3 linked regions of the Oryzias latipes genome follow. The protein of the gene in region 1 binds, or shares a complex with, the protein of each later gene. Links are inferred from orthologs where the notes say so. Each region holds a gene or a part of one and is shown on either strand. Other genes may lie near its edges. The genes, in order: mms19, ciao1 and fam96a.

Evidence for each region.
Region 2: mms19 (region 1) and ciao1 share a complex: the UniProt entries of both Homo sapiens proteins name them as parts of the MMXD complex. The link is inferred for Oryzias latipes from reciprocal best matches to the Homo sapiens genes MMS19 and CIAO1.
Region 3: mms19 (region 1) and fam96a share a complex: the UniProt entries of both Homo sapiens proteins name them as parts of the CIA complex. The link is inferred for Oryzias latipes from reciprocal best matches to the Homo sapiens genes MMS19 and CIAO2A.

What each region holds. Positions count from the first base shown.
Region 1 is NC_019877.2:1,645,613-1,649,260, forward strand, and holds part of mms19 (MMS19 nucleotide excision repair protein homolog), read right to left. Parts: intron 3,402-3,648; coding exon 3,273-3,401; intron 3,194-3,272; coding exon 3,132-3,193; intron 2,299-3,131; coding exon 2,212-2,298; intron 2,129-2,211; coding exon 2,054-2,128; intron 1,540-2,053; coding exon 1,462-1,539; intron 1,352-1,461; coding exon 1,213-1,351; intron 148-1,212; coding exon 1-147. UniProt on the Homo sapiens protein: Key component of the cytosolic iron-sulfur protein assembly (CIA) complex, a multiprotein complex that mediates the incorporation of iron-sulfur cluster into apoproteins specifically involved in DNA metabolism and genomic integrity.
Region 2 is NC_019867.2:18,361,224-18,365,605, reverse strand, and holds the start of ciao1 (probable cytosolic iron-sulfur protein assembly protein CIAO1), read right to left. Parts: upstream 2,874-4,382; 5' UTR 2,598-2,873; coding exon 2,459-2,597; intron 2,349-2,458; coding exon 2,200-2,348; intron 2,131-2,199; coding exon 2,019-2,130; intron 1,928-2,018; coding exon 1,839-1,927; intron 1,670-1,838; coding exon 1,474-1,669; intron 1,383-1,473; coding exon 1,313-1,382; intron 311-1,312; coding exon 76-310; 3' UTR 1-75. Other genes in the region: tmem127 (transmembrane protein 127), read left to right, coding at 3,568-3,805, 3,897-4,061, 4,141-4,382. UniProt on the Homo sapiens protein: Key component of the cytosolic iron-sulfur protein assembly (CIA) complex, a multiprotein complex that mediates the incorporation of iron-sulfur cluster into extramitochondrial Fe/S proteins.
Region 3 is NC_019864.2:1,194,666-1,198,313, forward strand, and holds part of fam96a (MIP18 family protein FAM96A), read left to right. Parts: intron 1-1,999; coding exon 2,000-2,164; intron 2,165-3,614; coding exon 3,615-3,648. UniProt on the Homo sapiens protein: Component of the cytosolic iron-sulfur protein assembly (CIA) complex, a multiprotein complex that mediates the incorporation of iron-sulfur cluster into extramitochondrial Fe/S proteins.

The sequences.
Region 1 (3,648 bases):
TGCCGTTGTACTGCTCCGTCAGGGAGGGCAGGACGGCGGCCGTTATGACGCGGCTCGCCCTGTAGGAGGCGCCGCAGCAGGCCTGGAGCAGCTTGGCGGCGGGCCACACCAGCTTCAGGTCCGGCTCACGGAGGTGATGCTCACAGTCTGGAGGCAGAAATTAAACTTTAGTCATAAAAGAATCGAACAAAAAAAGTTCAAATAAAACTTTATTTATAAAGGTCTGACAACACCTCAAATAAATAACTAAATAGTCCGCCACAAACGCAGATCTAACAAACAAAAAAGAGACGGTCCATGAAATCAACCAGAAATCTAAAAGTTAACAGAAACTTTAGAAAGTGTCAAATTTACTTCAAATCAAAGCTAAAACAAAAAATGTTAGAAAGTTCAGGAAGTTCCGCAGGCGAGGCCCACGGCGCCGGAATGAGGCCTCGCCACAAGACGTCAGCACAGTTTGACGTCATTTTTATAAATAAAGAACTCAGGTAAATTCAATTTCTGCATTAACTTTGGAAAAACCTTTTTCTGCTGTAGAAACAGTTTTAGATCACATCTATTCTGTTGGTTCGTTCCAAAGGACAAACCGTTGTGTTGAACATTCAGCCGTTTCTCTGAGCTCAACATTCGGTTTCATCCGGAGGAAACAGAACCGAGCGGGTCTTTTTGGACCCCTTCTGGTTTGTTTAGAGAACCGGTTCAGCTCTGTGCTTTTAGATTTGTTATACTGAAAGTCAACATGTGTTTCTCAGCAGCCTGTGTTCAAACAGGTTTCCCCCCCCCCCCACACACACACACGCACACACACCCTCACACCCCCCCCCCCCCCACACACACACACACACTGTTACCATGGTTACAGAAGCCTTTGTGTTTGAGAGCAAAGGTTTGTGTCTGCAGAAGTATTTTTACACGATTAATGTTTTAATTTAAAAACATAATAAGTTGTTTGTAGTTTTTGCTCAACCTGAATGTATTTTTTACCATTAGCTTTACGATAAAAGCCTTAAGAGAATTTCTGTAACACCTGCTAATTACATGACATGTTTTTCTCCTTATTACATTTAAAAATATCCTTATATCCCTATACTGTTTATCTTGTTTAATTTAGTTTTTTTCCTGCCTGGCTTTATTAAAAAAAACCAGGAGCATCCACCACGACTCCCCTTAGCATCCACCTGAACTCAGAGGGCCGATCTCACCGCCGCTCACCTCTCAGAACGACCTCCAGGAAGCGTCCGAGGACGTCCTCCGACTCGGAGCTGAGCACCGAGCGAGACAGGCAGGAAGTGAGGGCGGCGAGGGCGGCGAGGGCTGCAGACTCGATCTTCTCGCTGGACGTCTGAAAGACCTGCAGAGAAGAGCGAGGTCTGAGCGGCAGCCAGGAGGCGTCGCAGCAACGCCACGTCACGAAAAGCTTTGAATTTGGAAGGAAACGTTTGAATCCGTGAGCGTGGCGACCTCTCGACGCAGCGACGACCACAGGCCCTGAAGGAACTCAGCCGTGTCCTTGTGCTCGAAGCGCGACAAACATGCGTTCTGCGGAAAGAAAGCAACGTCTGAGAGTTCACCGGAAGATCAGGTTCTTTAAGCCAAGACCCAAAATAACAGATAGTTTAGAAAAGGATTTCTAATAGAATGTGTTTTATTTCGTCACAGAACTCTTCCATCTCCTCTTTTGTCCAAAACTAAAAAACAAACGACTGCAGCGACAGCAGATCTAAACATCAGCATGTCTGAGCTGAATCAGCTTTTGTGTTTATTTATTTTGTTTTAATTGTTTACATTTTATTGTAGATATAATTTATTGTTTCCTTCTAGCCAGGACTCCCTTGAAAAAGAGATTCTTGATCTCAATGGGACATTTCTTCGGTAAATAAAGGTGAAATAAAATTAAGAAATAAAAATTCACTTCAGACGTCCGTTTTCTGCAGAAAAAGGTTTCCCGCCCTTTACCCTTTCAGAGTAAAAGCACGGGTTTATGCACTGTGCTGCTTTACGAGACTGGAGGAAAACTGGTGTCTTGTTTCAGCGTCACGGCGTGTCTCCTCACCAGAGTCTGCAGCGCGTCCAGCTTGGCGCTCTGAACCTCTGAGTCCAGTTTCTCGATGAGGAGGGGGAACAGAAACTGTGGGAAGCCGAACAGAAACGTTTGCCGGAGAATGTTTGCTCAGGGGATCGAGTCAGAAGAAGCAGACCCGCCGTCGTTACCTCGGCAAACTTTGGCGTTCCGGTGAGGACGGCCCTCAGAGCCTGAACCAGCTCCTCTTTGGTGATGCCGTGGGGGTCGTTGGGGGGCTGCAGTGGACCAGGAGGGGGTTTTGGAAAAAGAATAGGAGGACAGGTTAGATGAAAAGTTATCCTGGAATCGCGTCCTGATCTAAAGAGTTCAGATGTCAGAACCCTGGAGAACCATGTCAGAGATCTGCACAGACGCTGCTGCAGATGCTGCAGACGCTGCTGCAGATGCTGCCGACACAGCTGCAGACGCTCCTGCAGACGCTGCTGCAGACACTGCTGCTGACACTCCCACAATCTCCGGGGGCTCAAAAAAAACCCGGCAAAACCAAAACACACATGTCAGGGATATTTAAAGTAAGTTTTGAAATTATTATGGGATGGCAAAAGGTGGCAAAGTGTAAAATTGGGCGATTTTCAGATGGGGGCAGTGCGACTTAAACTTTTGCTCGCACATTTTTTACCAGGACATTGTAGATATGAACATATTAGGAATGTGGGCGGGGTTGACAAAAAACCTCAGTTGCTAAGGAAATCCAAAAATGTATTCCTCTAAAAATGACATTGATCTGTCCGTCGGCCTCAAACGACCAAAAATTGAAATGGTTGCTATGGAGACAAACGTACATAAAAGGCACCGTTATGACAAAAGCGTGTTTTTTTAATGAATTTGTGCAGCTCTCGGGTGGCAGGGACAGACAGGGAGAGAGAGGGACATGTAGCAGATCCTGAAGATAATAGAGCGACATATTTTACTTTAGCTGATTTTTCTCCAGAGAGGAGAGGATGGAGACCCCAATGAGGAGCACGAATGCCCAGATCACACTTGTTTTTTGGGGGGAGGAGCAACAGTTTTCTCTGGCGGTCTGCAGACGTCGTCAACAGGAACTTACCGGGGTGAAGTCGATGGGGAAATAGCAGGAAGTCACTTCAAAGAGCTCCTCTGCGAATTTACCTGAGACAGCAGACAGGAAGGTTGAGAGAAGGAAACCGTGACATCACCAACAGACGGGGGGGGAGGAAGGTCTTCTCACCCAGATCGTATCCTTGGACGATGAGGTTTCTGGCGATCCTGAAGGCCAGCAGCAAGTTGCGAGGGTCTCTCTCGCCGTCCATTGATTGGACGAAACCAAAGACAAAGTCGGCTCCCAAACTCTTCAGCTCTGAATGGAGGATTGAGAGGACGTGAGAGACCGCCAAACGCATAGAGTGTCAGATATTTGTATGGATACTATAAACAAACGTTATTGACAATTGGAGAAATTAGAAAGAATTTAAATAATCAAATCATTAATTCAGTTTATCAAACAAGCCTAAACTGGTTTGGAGCGACCCGCAGTTCACCAAGTGACCACTAGAGCACGGTCTCACAAATGTCAGCTAGATCCTCTAGATCAGGTTAGATCCTCT
Region 2 (4,382 bases), on another chromosome or scaffold:
TTTATATAGCAAAAGAAAAGAACATTTAAGTTCAGCACAGGGTTTCATCCAATTGCTGGTGTCTCCACAGCAGGTTCAGTCTTCTTCTTGAAACCTCCAAATTGCAATGTCTCCATCATCACTGCAGGAGGCCAGGAGGCCGGCCTCCTTTGGGTTCCAGGCGACGCAGTTCACATCCTGACAGTGAGCCTTCTTCACCTGAGCAGCCAGCGAGAACACCGGCTCATCTGCATGGGCCGCGAGATCCTCCCTAAACACTCGTATGGCGTCGTCGCCACAGGCAGTTGCTAGGGCACCGGTCAGTCGACACCTACGCAACAGACAGTTGTTTGAGCCATAATAGTAAAGGGGACAAAGATTCAGCCGACTGATGACAAGCGCTGTTTTAGTGGTGGTACAGCCAAAAAAGCAAAGAAGAAAATCTGTTTTGGCAACTTTTTAAAAACTCTGTAAATAGAATCTATTTTTAAAGTAAAAAAAAAAAAATCAGACACCAGACTGTAGTGCAGGGGTGTCCAACTCATTTTGGTTCGGGGGCCACATTTAACCCGTCTGATCTCAAGTGGGCCGGACCAGTAACATAAAAGCAAAATAACAGCTTTGTTTTAGTTTTTTATTCAGTTGGAAAAAATGTCTCAATCAACATAGTAGCCTAATCACTTGGGGCCAATGGAGCTCAAATAAAATTAATTTCAATTAAAGAAAAGTTGGTCTATTCAAATTAATGCAGTCTGAATATTTTACATCTGACACTGAAGCAATCCAGAAACTTTTCTTTATGATAAGTCTCTTAGTGGTGCTGAATGTCATATTCTTTGAGCACTGCGATGTTGATGACATACAAAGCATTTGGGTTTTACATTCAGCTTCGTGAAAAAAAGAAAAAACTCTGTCCAATTTTCCTGGAAGGCTCTTCCCTCCACTTCACGTTTGACAGCATTTTGGTCATTAGGGTGTCGCTAATGATCATCCTTATAGCAAGATAACAGCGGTAAGGCTCATAGGGAACCAAGGTGCATCCTACCCAGACGCAGAGCTGTTATGTTTCGCTTTTGGCACATGCAGATATTTGCTGTTTCAACTGTTTTTCTTTTCCTTTACTCCCCCTAGTGGCGGAATTGCACATTTCTGTTATTTCTTTAAAAAATCATAATTCGCCACAGGAATGGACTAGAAACTTGCTTTCTTTTTTAATCATCCTTTTGATTTTTACTCTTCATGTGTGGGCCGGAGTAAACCACCTGGCGGGCCGGATAAGGCCCGCGGGCCGTGTGTTTGACACCCCTGCTGTAGTGTAAGTATTTAGTCTTACCAGGCAATGTCGTACACTGTTCGTCCATGATAACCCGACAGAGTGCAAACGCACTTCCATGACAAATCACCTAATAAAGCAGACCAAACAAAACATTCTGTGATTAAAAAATATCCTATTTTTTTTTATTTATGTCATAAACTACCCCTCTATCTTCTCACCACTCTCACTTGGATACTCCTTCCAAATCTTCACAGTGCGGTCATCGCTGCAAGACGCCAGCCTCTGTCCCGTCACGTCGAAACACAAACTCCAGACGGTGGACGTGTGTCCCTGCAGAGTGGCCCTGCACTCCCAGTCATCATCCTCCTCCTTGTAAATACAGATGTTGTTGTCGTAGCTGGCAGAAGCCAAGAGCTGCGGAAATAGAATAAAATACAACTTTATTGATCCCACAAACGTCGTTACCATGGCTCTATTAAAAACAGCACGTAGATCATAAATATGGCTAAAGATGCACTTTAACAATTAATAGCAACAATAATAAAACAACTACATGATGGTGAAGGACTGAGTGCAGACCTACCTCTTGCGTGGGATGCCACACAACATGCTTTACATCTTGTGTGTGCGAGTTCACCACTGTAACACACTCGTACTCATCTTCTTCGTCCACTGTGAAGAAGGAAAACAAAGGTTTACAACCCAGCTCTATATGTTTTCTGTGACAAAGGATTGTCCTGCAAGAGCTGGTGAGGACACAAACCTTCCCAAACCCAGACACTCTTGTCTCGGCTACAAGTGGCCAGCAAAGTCCCTGAAGGGGCCCACGCCACGCATTTGACCTCGTTTTCATGACCTTCCAACACAGTTAAGCTCTAGAAGACAAGAAAAGAGTCCAGGTGGAGCCAGAACACGTGTTAGATCAGAGGTTAAACGAACCTTACCTCAAAGTCGTCGTTCTTCTTTTTCCAGATGCATGTCGTCGCATCGAAGCTGGCGGAGGCCAGATAGTTCCCACAGGGAGACCAGGCTACTTTCCTCACAGTGCGCTGGTGTCCGTCCTGCAGAACGTTTTTACAAACCCAAGAGTCACCTTGAAAAGGGAAAACATGAACTGTAAAAAAGGTAAGGTCATCCAACCACTGATTTTAAATCGGCGTAGCAAAATTCGAATAGAAGGCTCTTTGTCTGTCTGAGTCTGACCTTCCTGTCCCCATATCCGGATGGCCTTATCGCCACCACACGAAGCCAGCAGCGCACCGCTCGGGCTCCAACTGACGAACCAGCACCGAGAATCTGGGTGTGCGCTGAGTTTCTGCACCAGAGAAATAGCCTCCTTCATGGCAGAGCTCCAGCAAACGTGACTCCTCTGTCTGTCAGGCGTCGACTCGACACTTTTCTCGATTTCCGTTAACCAAAGATTTAGGCTAAAAAGAGTCACAAATGAGGAAAACGACAGACAAGAGGACTGCGAGTAAATTAATACACCTTTATGAACATTAAAACAAAAGGAGGGGGAAATTAACCAAGGAAAATTGTTCACACAGATAAGTTCAAAGAAGCGTCAAATTAGGAAATGCCGCCATGTTTGCTTATCGGGATCTGGACCCGGTGCATTATGGGTTGATCTAAAATAAAACGTTTTGATGGTAATATTTCATTTATATATTTTTAAAGAAAGTGATCTACCTATATATGTATTTTTATAATATGAATCTATATTTACATTACTGTTTGCAAAGAAAATTTCATGCTAAACATTGTGTACATTTCTATTTTAGTTTCCGCTGGGGGCGGTAGTGTACAGCAAACATTCTAAACGTCACGAAGAAGAATGGCATATACAGGAAGTTAGGGATTTTGAGGAAAACAGCGTAAGCTATCTTTTGTTTTGTTTTGTGTTCCTTTTTGTATCATAGAGACGGACGGTTTTATCAGCGGGATTTGATGTTTACAGGTTATATTTTTTCCCATTCGTTCGCTAAAAAGTGTCTTTCCTCCGAGAACTGGTGACGTAAAGTGTTTATTTTTTTTAGTTAGCTTCAGAGGCTAACAACAGAGCTAAAGGCCCGCTTAGGATCTGTTCTTTGTGTTGGCTTTTCCTTAATATTTTTTGACTACTTTAGGGAAGCGGTTATTGTTGTTTTTATATTGTTGAGCACTTTTATCGCCACCGAAATCTTTGACATATCCTGGAAGACAATTGCCGTAGTTTTACTCTAATACCACAATAACCCGGTACTACTGTCAAGAGGAAGACAGTGCTAAGAGGAACCTACCACTTCAACAGAAAATTCGCCATTCGGTCAGCTATGTATGCCCCACCGGGTCCCGCTGTCTCCGGAGGTCGGAGGAGGAGAGCCGGTACCTCACTTCCCAAACAGCCGGAGCGGAGTCTAGTGTCGGCCCTGCCCGGAGCTTTGTCCATCACAGCGCTGTGCACGGCTCTGGCTGAACCTGCTTGGCTCCGGATTCACGGAGGCACCTGCCCGAGACAAGAACTCGGGGTGGCAGATGTCTTGGGATACGTTGATCCCAATCTTTTGGGTGGTAAGAACCAGCACAAAGTCGTTGCCACTCTAAGCTGAGGATCATGGAGTGCCTTAATTTATATGAATTTGTGGCACGTCTGTCTTTTCAGATTACTGTGTGAATCCGCAGACCATCCTGCTGCTAAGGGTAATAGCTGCCTTCTGTTTCCTTGGCATCCTGTGCAGTCTAACTGCGTTCCTCCTGGATGTGTTTGGACCCAAACACCCTGCCCTAAAGATAACTCGCAGATATGCTTTTGCACATATACTAACAGGTATCTACAGTGCTTGTTTTCATTTCTAATAAAGATCAAACACATTGCTACAATGTAACTGGTTTCTTTGTCTTTCCAGTGTTGCAGTGTGCCACAGTCATAGGCTTTTGCTACTGGGCATCGGAACTGATCTTGTCACTGCAGCAGCAACACAAAAAGTACCATGGCTCTCTCATTTACGTCACCTTTGCCATCAGCTTCTACCTGGTGGCAGGTGCTGGTGGAGCCTCCATTCTAGCCACTGCTGCAAACCTCCTGCGCCATTATCCCACCGAGGAGGAAGAGCAGGCCTTGGAGCTGCTCTCAGAAATGGAGGACAGC
Region 3 (3,648 bases), on another chromosome or scaffold:
CTGGCCCGACACCGCGCATAGCGGGACCCGCCGCTTCGCAGGTGCTTGCAACTTTAGGGGGGTCCGGGGGCATGCCCCCCCGGAAACTTTTAATATGGTGCAATTTGGTGCATTCTGGTGACATCACTTATTTCTACACTTTTCAATGACTGAAAATAGACCATATCAAACTTAAATCTGCTCTAGTCTGTTTCAGATGTTTTGAAGAGAGCACTGCAGTGTAGTAGGTAACACTAGTTCAGAAGTTTTCATGGTGCTTTTAACGGCAAATATCGCAATAAATCATAAACCTTAAATTTGTTAAAACAATCTAATGGCAGCTTGAACCATTTAACGAATCAAATAAATCCCTTAATGCATTTGACCAATCGGATGGACGCCTTCACATTGTTGACCAATCAGATGGAGCCCTGTTATGTTAGATGTTTGTAACCTATGTCAACGTGGGTCATTTGGAGTATAATTTTTAAACTGGGAATGGTTATTTGGTTATTTTGCTGTTTGTTTATATACCGCAAATTATATCGTTATCGCAATTTTAATCTCTGATATCGCATATCGCGAGTTTTCCTCATATTGTGCAGGTCTAACTGAGATCATTCAGCGAACTAGAAATACTTACTGCTTACAGTGTTGTAAAGAAAAACAAAATTAAGTAGTTTAACATTCTACTGCATTTGAGTCTGAGATTCAGGTATTTGGAGTTGCCTTTGATTCTTTGACATTCAGCTTAAAGCTTAGTGGATACAGTTTCATCTTCAATGCATTCATTAAATATCTTGCTGTCCATACTACTAATTATACCCACTACTCCATCCAACATATTCCTATCTATTCCTGCCATGTCTTCCACATCTCTGACATGCTTCAGTGTCTCTTCAGTGACGGTGTCGGATTTATAATCAAATGTAATAATAACCCACTGGCTTGTTCCTTCGTTGTTGCTGTTTAACATTGTTTTGTATTGAATTGTTACATTCAATAAAGTTTGAAAAAAAAAAGTAGTGAGCGCGTGCCGCGTGGTGCTCGGCAGTGAAAGCCGCGCGCGCGCAGGCGGGAGAGAAGGAGAAGTGATCAAAGGTTTCCCATAGAAACCCTTGAAGTCTGAACACAGGACTAGCAGAAAAACTAAATTATGAAGACGAGTTAAATCTACACCTTTTCGCAAAATTTACTTTATTGAAAAAGGTGAAGAATATATAAACCGTTAGATATTTTAGTGGCCCGAGCGGACAAGTGAAAAGTAAAGTCTTGTGGTCCGCACTGCTCGAAAAACAGGACCGGGCCAGCGGACAAATGGCTATGTCGAGCCCTGTAATGTCAAAGTACTTAATTTTGTTTTTCTTTACAACACTGTTAGCAGTAAGTATTTCTAGTCTAAAGCTAAATGATCTCAGTAATTTAATTTTTCAATTATTTAATTCAATTTAATTAAGTAACTAAAGTAACTAAAAAGTAATTGTAACTTTGCAACTTTAAACAAGTAACTCTGCAAATTTGAACAACATAACGGTAATTAAGGATCTAAAAAGTAAAAAACTAAATAAAACTTCTTAACTATTGATTACGAACAAATGTGAAATAGCAGTGATTAGAAGCAGCATGAAAACTTCTTAACTAGTGTTGCCTACTACACTGAAGTGCTCTCTTCAAAAAATCTGAAACAGACTAGAGCAGATATAAGTATGATATGGTCTATTTTCAGTAATTGAAAAGTGTATAAATAAGTAATAGATGTCACCAGAATGCATCAAATTGCACCATATTAAAATTTTCCGGGGGGGAATGCCCTAAAGTTAAGGCGTCCGTCGCTTTGGGTGCCGCCTGCGGCGGCGGGTCGCGCTGTGTGCGGTGTCGGGCCAGTAACTTTCTGGCAGGGCCAGTAAATTTCAAAAACCACTGGCCCAAATTTCTGAGCTATGTCAACCCCAGCCTTCTCCTTGAAAGCGACTTCAGTCCGATCTGATCCTCAAAGGCGCTTTTTCCTGCCGTTCAACAGATGTGATCCGATCGATCCGGGACCCAGAGAAACCCAACACGCTGGAGGAACTGGAGGTGGTGACGGAGAAATGTGTGGAGGTCCAGGATCTGGGAGAGGACGAGTACCTGATCATCATCAAGTTTTCCCCCACCGTCCCTCACTGCTCCCTTGCTACTCTCATTGGTGAGTAACTGATGGAGACACGAGGACAGGACCCAGAGCCACAAGAACAGAGGACCTGACCAGGAGCTGAACCGGAGTTATTAAATCTTTAGAAAGAAAAACATGACCTGTTGGTAATGAATATCCTATTTCCTGTTCTGTGAAAAAACTAACTCATCTGAAATGTTTAGCAATAGCAAAAAACTTTAACAGGTCTGCTTTTCTTGGTCAGGTGTTCTTTCCATTGCTGAGTAAAGTTTAACTTAATGTGTGTTCAGAGAATAAGTCATGTTTTTTGCAGTTTGGCCAGGGGTGCGACTTATACTGTGGAGTGACTTATTTTCTGATTAAAAAAAAAACTAATATATTTGTCATTTTCCCACTAAGAACAACTAGAGGGCTCAGTAAAGGGGTTTATTGGTAATTCCTACTGACAGCAACACAGAAGAAGCTCTGCTCAGTCCAGTCATCCATTCAGGCTTTCTTCAGTGGCTGTCGTGGTGCAAAGTTAGAGCGGTCGACCTCTGATTGGAAGATTGGATTGCTGGCACAACACTGAACTCCCCATTGCTCCTGGTGGTTATAGGTAGTGCCATCAGTATATGAATGGGACTGTGACTGTAAATCACTATGGACCTTCTAAGAAGGTACTAAAGCGCTATACAAGTATACACCATTTACCTTTTTTTCTTGACTATTAAACATACTACATAGCATATAATACATAGGTGTAAGGCCCTGAATCCCGGAAAAGACATTTAGATTAGGTTTGGTCGTTGTAGCTACAAAGTCATTCTGCTTCTAAATGGACGTGGGTCAGGGTGTTGGGTCTGCCGCCGTGAACAGGCTGGTTCTGGTCAGTGATTGTGATCACTGGAGCCAAGCAGCTGCAGTTGTAAACAGCCTGTACCACAAACAGATAAGGACTATGCTCAGGAATGCAGACTCACAGCAGGGGTGATTCATTAGAAATCATTGTATATAATCAGAGCGGTCCTAATGAGCACAAAAATACATTGTTGGATTGAACTAATAACACTTTCAAAAAGTTCCAGCTGCTATACTGAACATACATGTTTGTCACACATTTTTATTGTAAGGAAAACCATATTCTTAACTAATTATAAGATCATTATAAAAATGATATTATTTAGCATGTCAAATCATCGTGTGAGGCTGAAAGCTCTGTTGGAAAAGACACTTTCGAGGCTTCAGTTAGTTTCTATAACATACATTTAATATTGGGTTTTTGTTGATCTGTTGTTATGGTTAATCCCTAAATCTGAGCTTCCCTGATGATGACATTCTCGTGTCTGTGTGACAAATTCAGACTTGTCCTAGTTAGAACAGGTCAATTTTTTTTCTTATGTTTCCAGCTTAAACTCTGCCTATACAGCTTCGGCTAAGTTGGGCCTCTTTCTTGGAATAAGCTCCAGTGTCGGTTGTCTTCTGAACCTTGCTATGTTTGCAGGTTTGTGCCTACAAGTGAAGCTGCAGCGCTGTTT